Linked DNA regions of Neodiprion lecontei. The protein of the gene in region 4 purifies or fractionates together with the protein of the main gene of each other region. This does not show direct contact. Links are inferred from orthologs where the notes say so. Each region holds a gene or a part of one and is shown on either strand. Other genes may lie near its edges. The genes, in order: ribonuclease P protein subunit p40, ribonucleases P/MRP protein subunit POP1, ribonuclease P protein subunit p30 and ribonuclease P protein subunit p20.

What was found.
Region 1: the proteins of ribonuclease P protein subunit p20 (region 4) and ribonuclease P protein subunit p40 purify together in Homo sapiens (co-immunoprecipitation; 4 studies listed by BioGRID and IntAct, with this or other methods). This does not show direct contact. The link is inferred for Neodiprion lecontei from reciprocal best matches to the Homo sapiens genes POP7 and RPP40.
Region 2: the proteins of ribonuclease P protein subunit p20 (region 4) and ribonucleases P/MRP protein subunit POP1 purify together in Homo sapiens (affinity purification with mass spectrometry; 3 studies listed by BioGRID and IntAct, with this or other methods). This does not show direct contact. The link is inferred for Neodiprion lecontei from reciprocal best matches to the Homo sapiens genes POP7 and POP1.
Region 3: the proteins of ribonuclease P protein subunit p20 (region 4) and ribonuclease P protein subunit p30 purify together in Homo sapiens (co-immunoprecipitation; 4 studies listed by BioGRID and IntAct, counting the BioPlex papers as one, with this or other methods). This does not show direct contact. The link is inferred for Neodiprion lecontei from reciprocal best matches to the Homo sapiens genes POP7 and RPP30.

What each region holds. Positions count from the first base shown.
Region 1 is NC_060261.1:34,620,706-34,625,418, reverse strand, and holds the start of ribonuclease P protein subunit p40, read right to left. Parts: upstream 3,051-4,713; 5' UTR 1,147-3,050; coding exon 1,027-1,146; intron 905-1,026; coding exon 760-904; intron 347-759; coding exon 182-346; exon of another isoform or gene 96-181; coding exon of another isoform or gene 1-95. Other genes in the region: uncharacterized protein LOC107219755, read right to left, coding at 1-95; uncharacterized protein LOC107219723, read right to left, coding at 4,630-4,713. UniProt on the Homo sapiens protein: Component of ribonuclease P, a ribonucleoprotein complex that generates mature tRNA molecules by cleaving their 5'-ends. Also a component of the MRP ribonuclease complex, which cleaves pre-rRNA sequences.
Region 2 is NC_060264.1:26,747,844-26,753,859, forward strand, and holds ribonucleases P/MRP protein subunit POP1, read right to left. Parts: upstream 4,413-6,016; 5' UTR 4,173-4,412; coding exon 4,049-4,172; intron 3,768-4,048; coding exon 2,313-3,767; intron 2,084-2,312; coding exon 1,038-2,083; 3' UTR 551-1,037; downstream 1-550. Other genes in the region: 2-iminobutanoate/2-iminopropanoate deaminase, read left to right, coding at 4,689-4,756, 5,928-6,016. UniProt on the Homo sapiens protein: Component of ribonuclease P, a ribonucleoprotein complex that generates mature tRNA molecules by cleaving their 5'-ends. Also a component of the MRP ribonuclease complex, which cleaves pre-rRNA sequences.
Region 3 is NC_060261.1:32,864,092-32,868,019, reverse strand, and holds ribonuclease P protein subunit p30, read right to left. Parts: upstream 2,234-3,928; 5' UTR 2,070-2,233; coding exon 1,976-2,069; coding exon of another isoform or gene 1,972-1,975; intron 1,860-1,971; coding exon 1,642-1,859; intron 1,509-1,641; coding exon 1,440-1,508; intron 1,347-1,439; coding exon 1,146-1,346; intron 1,073-1,145; coding exon 1,005-1,072; intron 868-1,004; coding exon 788-867; intron 720-787; coding exon 571-719; 3' UTR 555-570; downstream 1-554. UniProt on the Homo sapiens protein: Component of ribonuclease P, a ribonucleoprotein complex that generates mature tRNA molecules by cleaving their 5'-ends. Also a component of the MRP ribonuclease complex, which cleaves pre-rRNA sequences.
Region 4 is NC_060263.1:36,111,261-36,114,755, forward strand, and holds ribonuclease P protein subunit p20, read right to left. Parts: upstream 1,473-3,495; 5' UTR 1,450-1,472; coding exon 1,273-1,449; intron 983-1,272; coding exon 814-982; intron 740-813; coding exon 630-739; 3' UTR 526-629; downstream 1-525. Other genes in the region: transmembrane protein 203, read right to left, coding at 78-491; cleavage stimulation factor subunit 1, read left to right, coding at 1,736-1,806, 2,368-3,265, 3,445-3,495. UniProt on the Homo sapiens protein: Component of ribonuclease P, a ribonucleoprotein complex that generates mature tRNA molecules by cleaving their 5'-ends. Also a component of the MRP ribonuclease complex, which cleaves pre-rRNA sequences.

The DNA.
Region 1 (4,713 bases), on a different chromosome or scaffold from region 4:
GGCTGCATGATGTGCCGTCCGACATCAGTTACGAATTGGCCAACCGACCTGAGGGCCAATTCTTCCAGCGAAGCTATTTGGTGTTTCTTTGGCATTTTGTCAATCTGATACCCCTTAAGTTTTCCGTTTGTCACTTATCCTTTATTATTTAGAGATTTTATTTAGCTTTCCAATAACTCACCAAAGCGATTTTTGATATTACGGTCGAAGAACGAAGGTTTTCCCTCGATACCGAGTGTTTGGAAATCTTCTTTAACCAAGGAAAGTATCAAATGGCCAGACGGAGTTACAGCGAGTGAATTCTGGGTGTCGATGTGACTCTCTATTGCCAGCACACTGACCTCACCTGAAATTGTTCTTAGATGATATTCAGTTACAAAAAGTAGCCAGTTAAAAAGGCAGCTCTGTTAAATAATTTTTGCATACATGCAAAGTAATCTACTACAGATGCTATTGAAAATAATTCTGTATAATTAAACCTGATGGCGAAAAGAAAAAGTTGTTTCTGTCAAAAGAAGTAGTGGAAAAATGAAAATTCCGTGGCGGACAGTTTATTTTTTTTAACTACCTGCTGATAAACAAATGCATACAAGGTTCTGAAAATTTGCTAAAAATGGCGTTTGCAGATCGATTGTAAGTTAAGAAACACGGAAAATTTTCCATCCTATTAGTGTTTCACCGGCGGGAAATCAAGAGTAGAAAAAGTGCAACGAAGTGTTTTAAAATTATAATGAAAAATTGGTGGAAATATTGAATTACCGTTTTTCACAAAGGCCTCGATGAATTCTTTGTCAACCAGTTCGGATGCTGATAAATTGTTGACTCTGTAATAGTCGTTGTCTTCGTTGAACGATTCGAAATAATGCGGTGGTAAATTAACTGTATCAGGAATGACGACAGATACCTGGCAATAATCCAAGAATTATTTAAAATTACGTAAATCTCTCGTTACAGCTACGCAGCGCAGCATAATAAAATCAACCTAACCTATAATTTATAATCGCGAGATCGCGTTATACCGCTTACCGAGTGGTTGAAATAGTGTTTTCTAATCACGCCCGTCACGTTCTTTGTTAAACAATCCGAATGATCGACCTTGAAGTAGTGCTGCGGGGCTTTAAAGTCCCACACTTCTGGGCACAGCATTTCCCGATTATTAATGAAAATGCGTACACCGCGTCGTACGAACAGGCATTGCGGTTATTGTCAGTCAGAAAGGTAAGAACCAAGGAAACACCGAAAAGCTATCCAATTGCGTATTACGCCTAGTCTTGTATTGTATTTTATTTCGTTATTGACATAATACAGCGATCCTCGTATTGGGAACGATGGAAAATAATTCAGATAAACTTCGTACGCTTACGTTTCGAACAGCTGTTTTCTATGTATTAAATTAAACTTTATTGTGACGGCCGTCGCATATGCGCTCATGCGTACGTACCACAGATCAGTGATATATGCATACGTACGGTATACATAGGCATGTATGTAGTACAGTCCACGCATTAAATTTCTTCGAGTCTGGCTTTAGACCCTTTAGACAGAAGCCTAGAAACTTATTACAAAGTTAGTTCCAACAACCGCCGCGTGCGTCGAAACGGCGCTCCCTTATATCAAACAAAGGAGCATCAGCTGACGCGACATCGAACATCTAGATTCTAGAGTTGACAAGTCAGAACGCGTCGCGTTTGCAGGACTCGGTGTGTTAGTTTCACAATCAGCAGTCACCGGTTTCGGTTAGTTTTACCGGAATTTTTCCCTGATTCAACATAGATTTCCATCGTCTGATGAATCTGGTATTTCGTAATATTGCAACCTTGTCCATGAAGTTGGTCGCAACTGTTAAATTAGATCTGAATTCGTTGTAGCTCGCCGATGTGCATTTGTTTCATTAATTTTTCAAAAGAAACTAACACGTGTCGGCATCAGTGCGGTTTACATAATTTATAGATACTGACAGGCTGCCTTGTAATAATTAATCGTAGAATTGGATTTACTCGCGTTGGTACAAATATAAATTCTCCATTGTTTCGATCAACACGTGAGTATAACAGGCGCGATTTCTAGTTCGGTTATTTCGGATGTTCGTTTCCTCAGAATCCATCTTGTTTTTCGAATAAATATACGTGTGATTAATGTTCAAAAAACTGATTTGCTTGCTCTATTGCAATTTTGTGAAATGATTCGTTGCACGCGTCGATGTGAAAGACAATTATCGGCAACTCGAAGAGGGAATTGACGAGGTGCCAAAGCACTGGTAAGTGAGTTTTTCATACGATTTGTGCTGATCGGCAGTTGATTATTTTTCAATGTGTCCGTAGAATGGAACCATTTCTATGGTTACCAAAGTATTACATGTGACTGGTCGTATATTGTTGCATTGTATTGTTACTGCGCACGGTCGAAACTTCATTCGACACAGCTGATTTAAGAAACAAGGAAGATAAGATAATGAGTTATTTGTCCTTATGAAACAAATAATCGACCGTTTATTATTTTCTCATTTTATTACGAAACTAGCAGAGACGTGTACGTTTTCGTAACAATGCCCATAATTATATGTATAAGTAATAGTACACCATATTATTTGCAATATAGTTTTCTTTGTTTTTTTATGTACCCCACTTGCGACCGGCGCAATTTACACATCAAATGCTATACCTAGGAATAATACCCGTACAAATCAAGTATATTTAAAATACGTACAAACCGATTGACGCATACACGACAAATTCTCCAATTATAACGCGTGTTGATGAATTGAAATTGTTTTGATTGAATCTCGAGCGAAACCCGTAATACCAAAATGGCGTATTTTCGCGTACCTGCGTCAAAAATCAAATATCCTGTCACTCAAATTCGACTGGATTTTTCATCATTATTCGTATATTTAATAAATAAGAATATAAATACGGCAAAGAAAGCTATAATTTTATTCTTCTAATGTTCTAATTAGTTTACTCGTGTTAATATATTCTCGATACATTACTCACGTCACAGCCTAAAATACCTATTTGATTCTCGTATAAAGTAACGTAAATACTTGTACGTATATTACACTATATACAAATAAAATTGGAATATTTTCATTTCAATTGTATAGTGTATATTTTACACCATAATAAAATATTCTCGTCACTTACATTAATATTATTATTACACAGGGTTCTTATAGCGAGTTTTTTGGTTTCCGTCTTTCATTCCACACTTATTCATTTTCTCGTTAGTCTTTGTTACATAGTTTATTCGGATGGTTTTTTTTTCTACAGTACGAACGCATTTCCGGGAATATAATATCTCCTGCAGCGATAGCAGACATGTTTTTTAAACATAGATATACACGTGGGTAAATCAACTTCCCACGATTGAGGTAGTATATAAGTATAGTCGCAAAGTTGCGTGTTTATCCAATTTTCCACATTTTTGCCGACTTGACGTTTATTGGCGCATTATATGGACAATGATTCGTATGTAACGTGTGAGCAATAAATAATAAGCTCTCTGAAATGAATAAAAGTAACGGGGTTGGGGGATACAAGTCAGCGAAGAATGTGGACAATTGTTAGATGAGAAGTACTAGCAATATAAAAAGTTCGTGGAAGTCAATTCGTTAATCAATCCTCGTGCGTATCACGAATTAAAATTCTACTTCAATTCTCAAAATTTATTCGTTACAATTGCTTATTTTATATTGTTATATGCTTTACGGAATGTTACTCGATGACTGTTATGAGAAGGAACAACGTTTTCTCTCATTCAGGCACAATTAGCCCGATGAAATTGAATCTCTATAATATAATTATATCCGTCATAATATGAGTATGTTTAAAGTATTGCCAAAGTTCATTATTTGATACGAAAGTTGTGAATTCGAAGTGAGGATTCTTCTTCAAAAATACGGGACGCAATTTTTTCCTTTCCAAAGTATGAGGCAATCGTTTTATACAATAAGGAAAGGATTGAAAAAGTTCGTTTCGAAATCTGTCTTTCTTTTTCCCCAGACCGTAGAGAAGAAGTTCTACCAAGGGTTTGAGATACTAATTTTACGGGGGTCAATATTTGTCTCAAACAAGTAAATAAATACTGTGAAAATTGTTGTATACCTGTACACTCGTCAAAACCTCTTAAGTCGGAAGAGTTATTTCTCGGAAGTTGAATAACCCTCTGAAATAATTTGATTTTGTACAAAGATTATTTCGAGGGATACAGAAATTTAACATCGTAGCTTTGTTCTCGGTGATCTTCATATTGATGGAAAATCTTGTTTCCTGTAATCGGATACCGACAAAGAGTGAAAAAAGAAAAGTATTTCTCGGATGCAGATTGTTTTCACGTTTCATAGGTAACTCGCATTCTAATTTATCATTCTTGTTATGCAACACCTCAATTTCTTCCCGGTCAAACACCGTACCTTAATTAATTGTCAAATATAATACACCTTAGCGGCGTAATTAGCGGCGTGACGGATACGCGCACCTTATACTGCGTATATACACATGTTTGCACATTTCGTAAGCCTTGCGTATATCGCACACAACTGTGGATATTTTAGGCTAAGAAAAGGCGTTTCACTGGTTTAATCGAAGGTTCGTAACCCCGCACACAATGTGACGTAACACGGTTGTGACGTCAGAGGAAAGGTGCGCGTTGAATTAGGGGGTCATGCCCCTCGGCAACGTCGCCGTTGGCTCGAGCTCCAGGAGTCTTTGTCAT
Region 2 (6,016 bases), on a different chromosome or scaffold from region 4:
TTTCCCCATGCTTTCTTATAATCGGTGTTAGAAACTACACATATTCACTTACAGAAATTAACGAATACTTTTCAAAATAGCTTGGTCACCACCAGCAGTCCTGCTAATTCTTAAAATGATATTCAAAGGTGAAGGTTTTTCAGACCTAAAGTATATATTTTTACAGTACTTATTTAATTTATTTCGAAGTATGCTCATTGGAACCATTAAATAAAGTTGCTACATAGCAATCTTACTGTTAATTGGATCAAAGTTTTCTGATATAGATTCACAGCGCCAGCACGGGGTTATTACTGTTTATTGTGGTTAAAAAAGTATTATCTTTCAAATACCTTGTATAGTAGCAATAGGTATACAGTACGACTGCTAAGTTTTGCTGGCAAAACGAAGAAAAAATAATAATGAAAGCACTAGTAGATATAAAATAGTAACATGTAGGCGTACCTGTGTATTTTATTGCATGTACGTACATGTCTATGTGCGAATATAAGATCGAAATAATAAAATAAAAATCATAAATAAAACGAAGGCACGATTTTTTAAAACGCCCTGTTAAACACGGGCTTTTATTTCATTAGATTTGTAAACGGGAAAAGTCTACTTTGTTGATTTAATTTCAATTGCTCAACGTGCAATGGGAAACTACTGGTAATAATAATATCAAATGACAAGAACTGCCAGTTCGTTTATTGTTTGTACATCGCACTGGCAAATAACTGATGAGAATTTGGACTCTCTTCTTCTACACTTTAAAAATCATGATTCTTTTCCCAATATACTATATACTTCCGTCTATGGTAGGCGATAATTTTATTTATGAAACATAATAATTAGCGCATAGCCTGTCACAATGTAATAGTTTTAGCAAAATAAGGTATTCAAATAAATCTCTTAGAGCCACATTCAAATGGTTTCTACAATTACCTTGATGCGCTATTTAAGAATTTCCAGAAGAAATCGTTGATTTATATACATTTGTACGTTACTCTCCTGAAGTTAATTGATCATTCACAATATATTTACAGGTCAATAGTTATTCATGTCAGTATACTAAGTCTGGCGAGTCTGTATTGTCTAGATCTTGTGTTTCTGATCAGAACTACGTTACTTTTCTGCTTAATTAGGCTAAACAGAGAGGGAAGTGTTACGTATCCCAGTCCGATTCCCTTTGATTCGGTAAAACTGAAGTCTCCTTTAACCACGTATCCCATAACTTCTCGATCGCAAGAGTTTCGTATCGTTTTGCAATTTGGCAAATAGAGATTCTTCATCTTTTCAGCCTGCAGGTCAACAATACTTTGAGCCTTTTTTCGCGAAATTATTTTAGACATCGCAATGCTGGAACTGGGCTTTGGCTCAACCGATCTGTGATCACTACTCTCCATTTTAATCCGCTGTTTTACTCTTTGTCTTCTCAAACGTTTCAATAGCGCCAAGTGACCCCTTCTCAAAGTTTTTCTAATCGATTCGTTGGGGTCTTTTCTTAGCTTAGCTACAGGCCCTTCCCAGGTTCTTTTTTGGCCCAATTTTTCTAAATCCTCAGAGAGGGGTAAGCAGATTATGGCAAAATCTCTGGGACACCCTTTGCTTTCTATGACAATCTTTACAGTTATTAACGTATTAGTGTCTTTGAACACAGTTTTGTCGAAACTTGATTCACAAAGCTGTTGATACTTCTTATGCCGGTTCAATGGTAATTGATGAGAGATATTTTCTTGTATTAAATGAAGCAGTTTCTTATCTCTGAGTACATAGAACGTTGCCATATCTGTCCATTCCTTGATAAGTAAATTCCACTCGCAATAGAACGGACTAGAAATACCAAGTTTCACGTAATTTGATCTCCTGTTTGGAGGATATCTGAAATACTTTTCCATTAGACTAGTCTTTCTTTCTGAAGCTTCTTTTATGTATGCTTCTGTATCTGGCGGATTAAAATCAGGCGAATTCAACCTAAGATTTTCAAATATAATTGATGTTGATTCCCTCAAACCTCCTGGTTTGGCACAACGAAAAATAAACGAGATCCAAAACGGAGTTGCCCAACCAGATGGTAAAATTACGTCGATTCCAGAACTGAATCCTGAAAATAATTAATCCAGTTAAACAATCGAATATTTGAAATGCCAATTCAAAATTTGAGTTTGATAGAAGAAATACACTTGGGACTTAAATTTTTACTTGCCTTTCAGTCTTTCTGTTATAATACTAGAAGCTCACAAGTCACATTCTCAAAAACTGTCATAACTACATCCAGAATGACTAGATAAATTTTAAATAACGATGGAATGAATGCAATTTGCATGGCTTACCAAGACTTTTTTCTCCATAGCCGCATCCAGGCCTCTGAATAAGAAGAATAGGTACTTTGGCAATATAGCTTTGGTCATATTTATCGTCATTGCCAATACCGGGAACTAAATTTTCACTTCTCAGTTTGTTTATTTCATTTGTAGTCTTGAAGTTTTTCACCGATGATTTTCTGATTCTGGGTTCCCATATTGCACTAACATTAATAAGTGTGGGAGGAACAGGAATCGTCTCAATGGTCCTTGCATTTGTCTGCGCTTTATTTCGTTTAGTCGGGACGAAATATCTTGGATCCAAAACTGTGAAAGCCATAACTGCACATGGGGGAAGCTGGTTGGGTGAATTAAGATCCCTCAGATGTTCAAAAACCTCTTTTTGAACTTGCAGTGACTGAATGTTCTCTGAGTCCCTATAATACTCCGAATACCATGATCGGGCAGTAGTCTCAAGTGATTCGTTGTTGTCATCTCTATCAATACGAGTATTGCTCTCGACGTCCATTGGTTCAATTTCCTTCTTAGAAACCTGAACGATTTCAACATCACTATCCGAATCACCACATTTTGGTGAATCTGTTTCCATGGTAGTATGTGACTTCACTTCATCTCCTTCTCCCTCAGATTTTCTCACTTCGTCAAGAATTTTTCCTATCTCTGGCAGACGTAGGGCAGTCGTGAGCACTGCCAGACTCAATGGACCGCAAAGTCTGAACCTGTTCAAGGAATTCTTCAGTAATACTAATCTGCAATTATCAGCACCCGAATACTCTGAATCTGAGGAATGGCACGGAGACTCAAGATTAAACTTGAAGCTGTTACAAATCTCCGACAATATTAGCTGATAAAATGCAGGATGCGCCCACATCCATAATGTTTTTAGTTCAGAGTTACCAGGCCTCCATATGAACTCTACAGTTCCCACAGGTGATGTTGGATATCCGTTCTTCCTGTAGAACATAAGATTCCCCTCCCTGCTACCCTGGATATAGGATTTTGCTGTGAAGCTCAGGTTGCCAGGATCGCAGTGATTCTTGAGCATTTTTTTCAGCGCATTAATCGGTCCAGTTAGCTGAATGCAAGAATAGTAAGATATGTCCTGTAGCAGGCAGTGTTTTGCTACTGCTCTGTAACTCGCTCTAAAACTGCGATCATTTGAGTGCTCAGGGAGCCTGTGACCCCATTTTTCAACCATGTGAAACCTTTTTGCGTGCCACACGTGTGTTTCAAGCCAGGCATTCTTTACCTGCCTACGCTTGTACTCTGCGATCAGGTTCTGTGGCCTTCGCCGGTACTTTCGGGAGGGTCTTTTTGTTTTGGGTGGCAAACCTGACTTTGACATTTGGTGAATATGCATCTCTCGTAGTCTCCTTGGCATACGCTTTGCATTGTGGGACATTATTCTGCGACGCATATGCATCGGTAGTTTTTGGAATATTAATTTTGTCTGTTGAGGATTATCTGCAATATCAAGGCATAATGGTCATTCTTCAATAAAAATTCAAAATTCCCGCGCAATTAACACTCTCAAGTATTATCAAGTTAATGGCATTGTTGGGGAAATGAGGGACGAAATAAAAGAAAGAAAAACCTGGGTATACATCCGGGAAAGATACATATTCCATGTCAAGGTGGCTGAATTATGAAGCACCAGAGACATTTAAACAAAAGCAGGAATTGGAGAGGGAACAATATCTAGATTAGGTTAGGTTTATTTTATAATGGACGGGAAAATATTTTACCTATGGAATAAGTCATCGCGGCGATTTCATTCGCTCTCGCCGATGCCAGTTTCATGATATGTGCTTCGGGAGGTAATTCCTGGGATCCACCGAGGAATATGTCGAATTGAGCCTTTTCCGCCATACTTGAAGTTTCCGTGACAATTCTTGTACGAGAAATTGTAATTGGATTCTGATCCAAGCATTTGTACCTTCCAACGAACACTACGAGCCGATATTTCGAAATTTGATTTGAGGTTATGTTCAGTCTTGCTCGAACCACGTGACAGAAAGAGTATCATTCATCTTCGACCACGTGTGTATGTTGTTCTGGTGTATACCTAGATGTCTAACACTAAGGCGCAGGCAAGAAAATTACAGTTCTAGTTTCTCATGTCTGCGTAGTTATTCACAATCTCCAGTATTGGAATTGCAGTGTTAGGAATGTTGATCATTGATCGGCCTTCGATTTTTCTTTTGAACTGATAACATGAATAGAAATAAATGATACGCACGAACAATAGCAGAATATTACGTTACAATTTGCGCGTATTGAAAATTGCGACTCCGTCCGAATCAGTCATCATTATATCACCGTACTAGCTTACGCGACGAACCTCATACCTAAGGTTGACAATATTGCGTATATCATACAGTAATAATGGCGATGAAAATTATTCGAAAAATTATATCAACTACAAGGGCACCAAAATCGGCCGGACCATATAAGTGAGTCGTAATTACAGCGCACTTTAATAAAGAAATCAAAGACTAAAACAAGGACAGACAAAATCTCAGTCACTTATATTTGTCTAAAATTTTAGGGGTCGAGATTTCTCTCAAAAAGTTTTTCTACAAAGTTTAACATACACTCATGAAGTTATGGAGCTGAGATAGTTCATCATATGACATATCTTTCAAATTTAATTTGTGATATTTCGGGATGGAAGAATTCTGTACGGACATGTTGAATTATACGAATCAATTCGCAAGCACTCCAGAAATATGCCGATATTTGATAGCTGATAATTTGTTCCATCACGTGGTATTAGTAGCTTTACTAATTGCTGTACGTTCACTAGCATAGCTGAATGTGTACGCCACTGCCATTGCACACAGGTCATAGTTCACAGAGTGTATCAAACGTCGTCATTTACAATGCTTGTGAGCTGCACACAATCGTGCACGAATACATAACACTACTTGAAAAATGTATATATTCCACATGCATGCGCGGACGTATATGTACGACTGATTGAATTATACCTCTATACAAATAAAAAGATAATTCGGTATTGGAGAAAGCCGGTCAGTCGCTTATACTCTTAGTGTACTGCGGTTTGCCCTGAAAGAACATGGCGTCTATAATACGGAAAATTATTACTTGTCCAGCAGCGCCTAAACCCGTTGGCCCTTATAAGTGAGTTAAAATATCAGGATACCTCTATGTTTACCTAACGAATGTTTTTCGTTATTCATTTACTGATCGTGCAAGTTACGATTTCTTATAATACATAGTATTCACATCTTACGGACGACTCCGGTGCGAAAAGCGCATCAATAATCTGTTTTCGATCACAAATAAAAAGAATTAAAATGAATATCAATATCATATTACTTACATTACATATATTCAATACAGTTTATTTGATTTCTGCCAAATTATTGTCATTACTTGTTCTTTATTAAGAACGGATACGTCTAAATATGATGTTTAGTTATCTCACTATTTTTCCTTTTCTGCACGCCATTTACTGCATATCGGTGTGTAGATAACAATGCTACGTTGATAATTGTATTGCTCAAACATTGGTGATGCACGTAACAAAAATCAAAATTTTTTGTTCCACTTGCAAATTTTTTTTGAGATACTAATCATTGTTTTTCTTATTGTTAATAGTCAAGCTGTCCTAGTCGACCGAACCGTTTATCTTTCTGGAGTACTTGGGCTTGATAAGGATTCTGGGAAGCTGGTCGATGGTGGGGCAG
Region 3 (3,928 bases), on a different chromosome or scaffold from region 4:
AACGGGAAGCAAAGGGAATATGTCCGCTGTGTCCTATTTCAAAGACTGAAGTTGAAAGGTGTTCAAAAGGAGAATAGTCTGTAAATAATTTGCTTCCGATAGCAATTAAAAATCTATAAACTTACAGTAAAAGTTTACTTTTGCTCATTTTCATTTCCTCTTTGCATCATTCTGTTTAGAAACAGTTCGAGTCTGTGTTCGTCTGTGGAATGTATAATATGCTATCTGTTCAATATTGTTTTTATTATTATCCCTATAAAGTACATTAAATACGAAGATTTTTCCAACAATATGTAAAACTGTGGATAATTGCGTTAAGAAAATTTTCGTTGATATGTTAATGCTAAATTAAGATTAAATTTAATTTAATCATAACAGATCTTAGATATAGCTACCAGATGTAAAATACCAATGGATAAGTGTGTAAATTATTTCCCCCGCTAGTAATAACAAAAAATAAGTACATATTATTGAAATACCAGTTATGTAACAAATCTTTATCTTTTAAAATATAGTCTACTCAAATCGTATGGATCAATTTTATTTTTCACAAATTACTCTCCCGACTGATCACAGTTTTATTTTTTTTGCTTCGGTACAAGTGTCACCATGTTCATCGTCTGTTTCCTCCGCTTCTATTTCCATTTCCGATTCCATCTCTCTTTTTTCGGTGCTACATGTTTGTATTCGAAAAACTGCTTTTCCATAGCGTCTTCCTTCTAAACTCAGTGTAAAAATATGTCATTATTGTTATTAAAAAATTTCTATCATAATTATATCGACCCACCTGCTCTCAAAATGACATATCGACTCTGTGAGAGGATTGAAGCTTTAGCTTTTGTCTCATTCATTCCCAGAATAGAAGCTCTAGCATAAAAATGACTAAGGAATATAACAGATGTAGAATCAGCACTCAATAATTTTCAAACCACCAAACTTCAGAAATTGGCTACTGTAATACCCAGTTGAATTCAAATATACTTGATAAATTCTTCAAAGGATACAAATTTATTATATCATAAGGACTCCTAATTTGGGTTTCAATTGAAGCTCCGCTACTGATGAAGATGTTCTGAAAGAATAACCATGATGCAGAAAAATTTTGACAAGCAGGTGCCGATCCATTTATAGAAAGAAAAAATTACTTTGCTTTTGCCAAACATGTGGAACAGATGGGAGTAATGTATAGCAAACTTTCTGCTCGCACTACTAATAACATCGCAGTACTGAATTTCAAAATTAATTCCTCTCTCTACAGCTTGTAAATATAACTTCCTGCTCAACTTTAGCCCAACACAATTTCTGTTTAATAATACGATGTCTGTATTGAGTTGGGAGCAAGCAAACTGGAAAAAAGAAAAGAAGTATCAAGAAAATCATAAATTAATCCGCAGTACCAAACTTATATAGTAGTCATCGTGCAAATCTTACCAACGTACCTGAAATGCTGCTTGTGTTTTAGGTACAACAGCGTATAAGTCATACTTTCTCAGACTCGATGATTGATTCTGAAAATATTGAACAAATTTAAATACTTGAATTCAAAAAAATAAATTAAATTTAAAATACCTATTCTCAGTGCCTTAGAATTGCTGAGATTATATCGGATCAACTTTTTACAGACTTTTATAACGTGTTTACCAGCGTATGGGTTCTTGTGGGATCTCCGAACACGAACGTAAGACGATTTAAAATACGAAGCTTTCCAGCATATTCTGAAATTAGATCAGCGATGTCTGGAGGACTCGGGACAGTAACTCCCAGAGCTTCATTGTCACCGGCCTTTTTCTTGTTTTTCTTTTCAGATTCGAAAACTGTCTCTTCTATTGTTCGGTTGATTGCTACTGTTGAATAACCCACTGGTGAGAATTGAAGAAAAACATTACGATATGTCATAGTTGTAGATTCTGATTGATCTTCATTTGTTTTCTATTTACATCAAATGAAATGAGAATTTTTGTTCATACGTACATACTTTCATATAATTTATCCAGCACTTTATGTAATGTATTTTTATTTACAATTTCTGCATTTATGCATAGGTCGCAAAACCCGAAAGCAGTCTCCATTTCAGTGAATAATTACATTCACCAAACGTGGTAATAAAATATACACAATAGTATTGAACAGCTGAACCACAAACAACGTATAGAGTAACGAAGGTATACTACGTTTAACGAGAGAACCAAAGTAGAGGATCACACGTGCACAGACCACTGGATCTCTATTATAACTAAAGATCAGTGGCACAGACTTTTTCGCAACGCCATCTGGTGACTCTGAGAAAAACTAATCGATAATAATCGGTATGTTACACCGGTTACGCGGCTCGAATCTTCGACTGCGGGGACTGGTCGGAGGTGGTTGAGTACTTATAAGAGTTCTATTTGTGCACGGTTGAACGTCGTTTCGTGTATGCATCGTTATTAGTTTGTTATTTTAATATGTCAAACAATGCCACGTTCCGTTGTGAACAATTCTGATGAAGATCACAAAGCCAAAAACGGTAAGCCGCAGTTCAAACTTTTGTGTGAATATCATTTTTATCACAACCGCCAATTGTCTGACGACCGTTACGATTTCAAATATGTCTGAGCGATAACATTGCCATTCTTTAATCTCCCTCGCATTTTTTTGCCTCGTGAACGGTCCGTACCACGTTTTCGTACATGTGGAATCGCGTATCGGTGCAAACATAATTGGAATAATTTTAATCGAATCATAGATCTTCCTCAACCTAATTTTGCTGCTCTATGTACACGGTGACCTAGCATCAAGTGACCAAACTGATAGGGGTTATATAGGCGGTTGAACTGAGTAAATTAAACGAAAGAACATGTGACCTACGAAGTCGCGTTCGCGAGATACGACCGGTTAAAAGAGATCTCGCTAAGCGCTGGCATATAGGCAACCGAGTATACATCAAGCCGCGGATAGCGATCCTTGTCGACATTCGCTCGAAATTCAATAGTTATGCAATTCAATCGCCAGATTAAAATTTTTTATTGATTCACGGGATTGTTTATGGGGTATAAGCAAATATTGCTTTGCTCATTTTACACGTATTATTATGTAGGAATCGACGACAATTAAATTTAGTCGTTAAATTTGTAATGAAGCGACATTGGAATGTCGTTGAAAGTTTGTTTGGGAGTAGAAGCAAGTCTAATCATAATGGACAAAGATATTTCAGAATTATTTACCACTTCTATGATATTGGAAAAAATTATTTAAAAAAATGTATACATGTCTGAAGTTGTATCCAGCTGTCTAGGTCATGACATGTTGTCACCTGGCAACAACAATAGCTGGATTAGAGTTACTTTTCGATTATGAACAAAAAAAAATGGGTTCTATGGATGACAGATCTTGGAAGTATATATAGTGATAAACAAAGTTGTCGTAACATCATTAGAGAAAATTGTACTTTTGTATTATTATACATATACAGGTACAATGTAGTTTAGTAACGTTCAAAGCTTTCACATGGTACCTGTAATCACTTACATGGTTTTGGAGATCAGTTTCTAGATACCGGCCAAGCGAGGACCTAAAGGTGAAAATATTTGTTTAGATCTAATCTCACGAATGTATTGAACGACATTGAATGTTATGTTTACGAGTGCCATAAATATTTGGAATGTTTGTTCCGATTTTCTGTTCTATTCGTTTTTTTATAAACTTTTTCAGAAACTAGCTTTTCTTTCCATAAGACTTGTTCGTTTTTTTTTCTTCAGTAACGTCATTATTTTCGGTGCCAACCTTACTCATTTCGAAGAGTATACGATTTTTTCACAATAACACTACGCGACGTTACCAAACTCTGAAAAACCTAATAGACTATCCAGGCACGCAACGCAACCGAATTTTGACTGGCTGCGTAACGTCGTTAAGCCTTGATGAAAAACAAATCATAAAGTCTCATAAG
Region 4 (3,495 bases):
AGCTCAGTTGCAACATATACAGAAGATTGTTGTAAAGAAAATTCTATGACAGGATCATTTCTATCTAAAGCCCTGGGTCAGTGAAGCTGACAAGCCCTGACAGCAATAAGTTGTAAGAGAATAAAAACAGGGCTCAAAACTTCAGAATATTCCAGACTGCTTTGACCTGACAATTTTTTGCAAAGTAAATACTTGAAAACAAAAACTAACAAAAGAAAAGTCAAACTCCATAGTGCTCTAAGTATAGCACTTTTCATTACTCCATCCATTTGCATTCTTATGAAAATAATTGCACAAAAATATGTGTTCAAGCCATCACCGATAAATAATGGCGAGAATATAATCCACCAGCCTCCATTGCCTGCGAAATAATTGTTATCTATCTTCATGGCTAGCAAAATCGTAAATATTGTCAATGATACAAGATTGATCCATATTTCAAATATCGTTAAACCCAGCCAGTGCACTAATTCGTTGAGGGAAAATATCATCTTGAGGAAGTTCACAATGAAGAAAAAACAAATATCAAATATGGAAATTAAGCTTCTTCATTGTCTCATAAAATATAAAGCTTACATCCAAACACTACCTCAGACTGAATAAACTCACTTAAAATTAATAGTATGTGTTTATTTGAATGTCTCAAACAATGCTGTGCGGAACACTCGAATATGAATGGCTGAATTTTGCCGTTGATTTACCTCATAGTCAGCGTCATCTGTGATAGGCTCAAAATCATCTATAAAAGTCAAATTAATTATACCATTAATACTCAACAATTCAATGTTCAAATCCTAGCCCAGCTTTACCTACCAGTTATATCTACAGTCGACGTATTTATGTCCAAATCGACAGTGCCATGGTGATTTTCTTTCAATTGTAAGGCCAAATTGCAAGCTCTGCTTACCGCAGCACCAAGAGCATGAATAACAATTTCTTGTTCACCGGAATCCAGTAGTTTTTCACATTTGTTCAGCTGAGCCTTAAACAGAGTCGATAGTATTATGAGAAATCATGCATAATTATATTCTTGTTTACAATGAAGCAACAATCGTGCAAAATATAAGCAAGAATTTATAAATTCTGATAGCTGGAGCGTTGGAAATTGTAATTACCAGAAACAAGCTGAAAAGAGAAGGTACGAGACTGGTTTACAGTGTTTGTCAGTTTTCCAACTCCACACCATGGATATTTATATAAAATAATTGAAAAATGGTACGGAACATCATGTGATTTAAACGCACCAAATGAGGTTAGGGTGCCTGAGGTTACCTTGAAGTTTGTTTTGTTGGTGATATAGAAGTCCTTGTCACTTTTCGGTAAACGTGGCGGTAATCTCTTTCTTATAACATGTTCGTAGGTGGGTCGCAGTTTGATCTTAGAGTCCTTGATTGAGCTTTCTGTCAAATTTTGTTGACTCGATTCAACTTCGCTTTTCGCAGCAGCCATTGTGGCATTTCTCCTGTATCCTGAGAGGAGGTTATGCGATTGGCAATTCCTATGGAGAGAGTTGAGATTCTGATTACGATATCCAATCGTGCGACATGCGTGCGACTAACTTCGACAGGCAAAATGCATCAACATAACATAACCTCTCACCTCGCAGAGACCACGACGGTGACAGAGGCGAATCACGAATTGTCGTTGGTCGTATTTTCGGATTCCGTTTTGTGCCTGAAAAAATAAAACCAGCAAAATTCAGTCGCCGAAGGAGAATAGAGATTATCATTCAAACATGAAGGAGCCAGATTTGGATCCGAAGAATATTATTAAAAGCAGAGAATCGCTCTATCGGCTTATGATCAGGTAAGCAAATCTCAAATTTTTCACTACTTCAAACTTCTCATTACACGTTTTCGTTATGTTCAGACACCATTGCTTCAATTTGTGTTTTCGTAAAAAAATTACGGATAATTAACTAAATGGTTATTCATATCTTATTGCAAAACTAGTCATTTCATACGTCCCTTAGAGGGTTTAGAAAAACTGATTTGACAAGGTATCCAGCAATGAAAGTTTATACACCATAATTAGGGATATCGGAGGAATCGGATTTTTCTAAGAAAATTTTCAGATATAGAATATTTGCGAAAAATACTTCACTAATTTGCTAAGTTTTCCCAACTCCCAGTGACATCTTGAAACACCTTGCCTAACAATTACAGACTGTGATATCACAATATTAGGCAGAAGTTGATTTGATTTTCTCTTTCATTTACATATCAAATTGTAAGAGGCACAGTCTCACAAATCCTGCTGTTTACACATTTTTACATAAGCGTATGACTGGTCATTTTGTCGAAGTAATGAAATTGTGTTTACTAATCTATAAAGTGGTCTTAGTTATATGGAAAACATATTTTTCAGCCAACTTTTCTATGATGGTCATCAAACTCTGGCGGTTCAATTGTCGAACATGATACAAGCTGAGCCGCCTTGCCCACCTTCAGATAGATTGTTGCATTTGATGTTAATCGGTGCTGCGCATGAGCCAGATCGTACAAAAAAAGAAGTAAATAATCTACCGACATTTTCCAATGTCGATAATACTCTTGGTCCTGGTTTAGATTTAGAGTTTGAAACAGAGGCTCAGACGCAGGCACCAGAACCGGCACAATATGAAACGGCGTATGTTACATCGCACAAAGGAAATTGTAGAGCAGGAGCATTTTCGGCGGATGGACAGCTAATTGCCACAGGCTCCGTCGATGCCTCGATAAAGATTTTAGATGTTGACAGAATGTTGGCCAAATCTGCACCGGACGAAATGGCACCTGGTGATCAAACTGGGGGGCATCCAGTGATCAGAACGCTGTACGATCACTTGGAGGAGGTGACTTGCTTAGAGTTTCATCCCAGGGAGCCAATACTTGTTTCCGGGAGCAGAGACTTCTCAGTCAAGCTCTTTGACTTCAGTAAAGCAAGTGTTAAGAAAGCTTTTCGTACTATAACAGACGCCGACCAGATCAGATGCTTGTCGTTTCATCCGACTGGTGATTTTCTTGTTGTTGGAACAAATCATCCTGTCGTTAGATTGTACGATGTAAATACGGCACAGTGCTTTGTATCTAGTATACCCAGCCATCAGCATACGGCAGGTATAACCAGCATTAAATATTGTCTGGACGGTAAGACTTACGCCTCTGCTGGTAAGGATGGAAGTATTAAATTATGGGATGGTGTATCCAATCGGTGTATAAATACTTTTGTCAAAGCACACGACGGGTACGAGGTTTGCTCCGTGACGTTTACAAGAAATGGAAAGGTATGTTTCTTCTTTAATTTATAAATTAAACTGACGTCAATAATCGTGACTAAGGCAAACACAGCTGAGAATTATATTTACACTTTGCTGTCTTTGTGAATTTCAGGGATGTCCTTTCCCATGTCACTAAAGTGTCTTGGTAAAAAATATGAATATAAATTCTTGATATTCATTTTCAGTATTTACTCTCATCTGGAAAAGATTCTTTGATTAAATTGTGGGAACTGTCA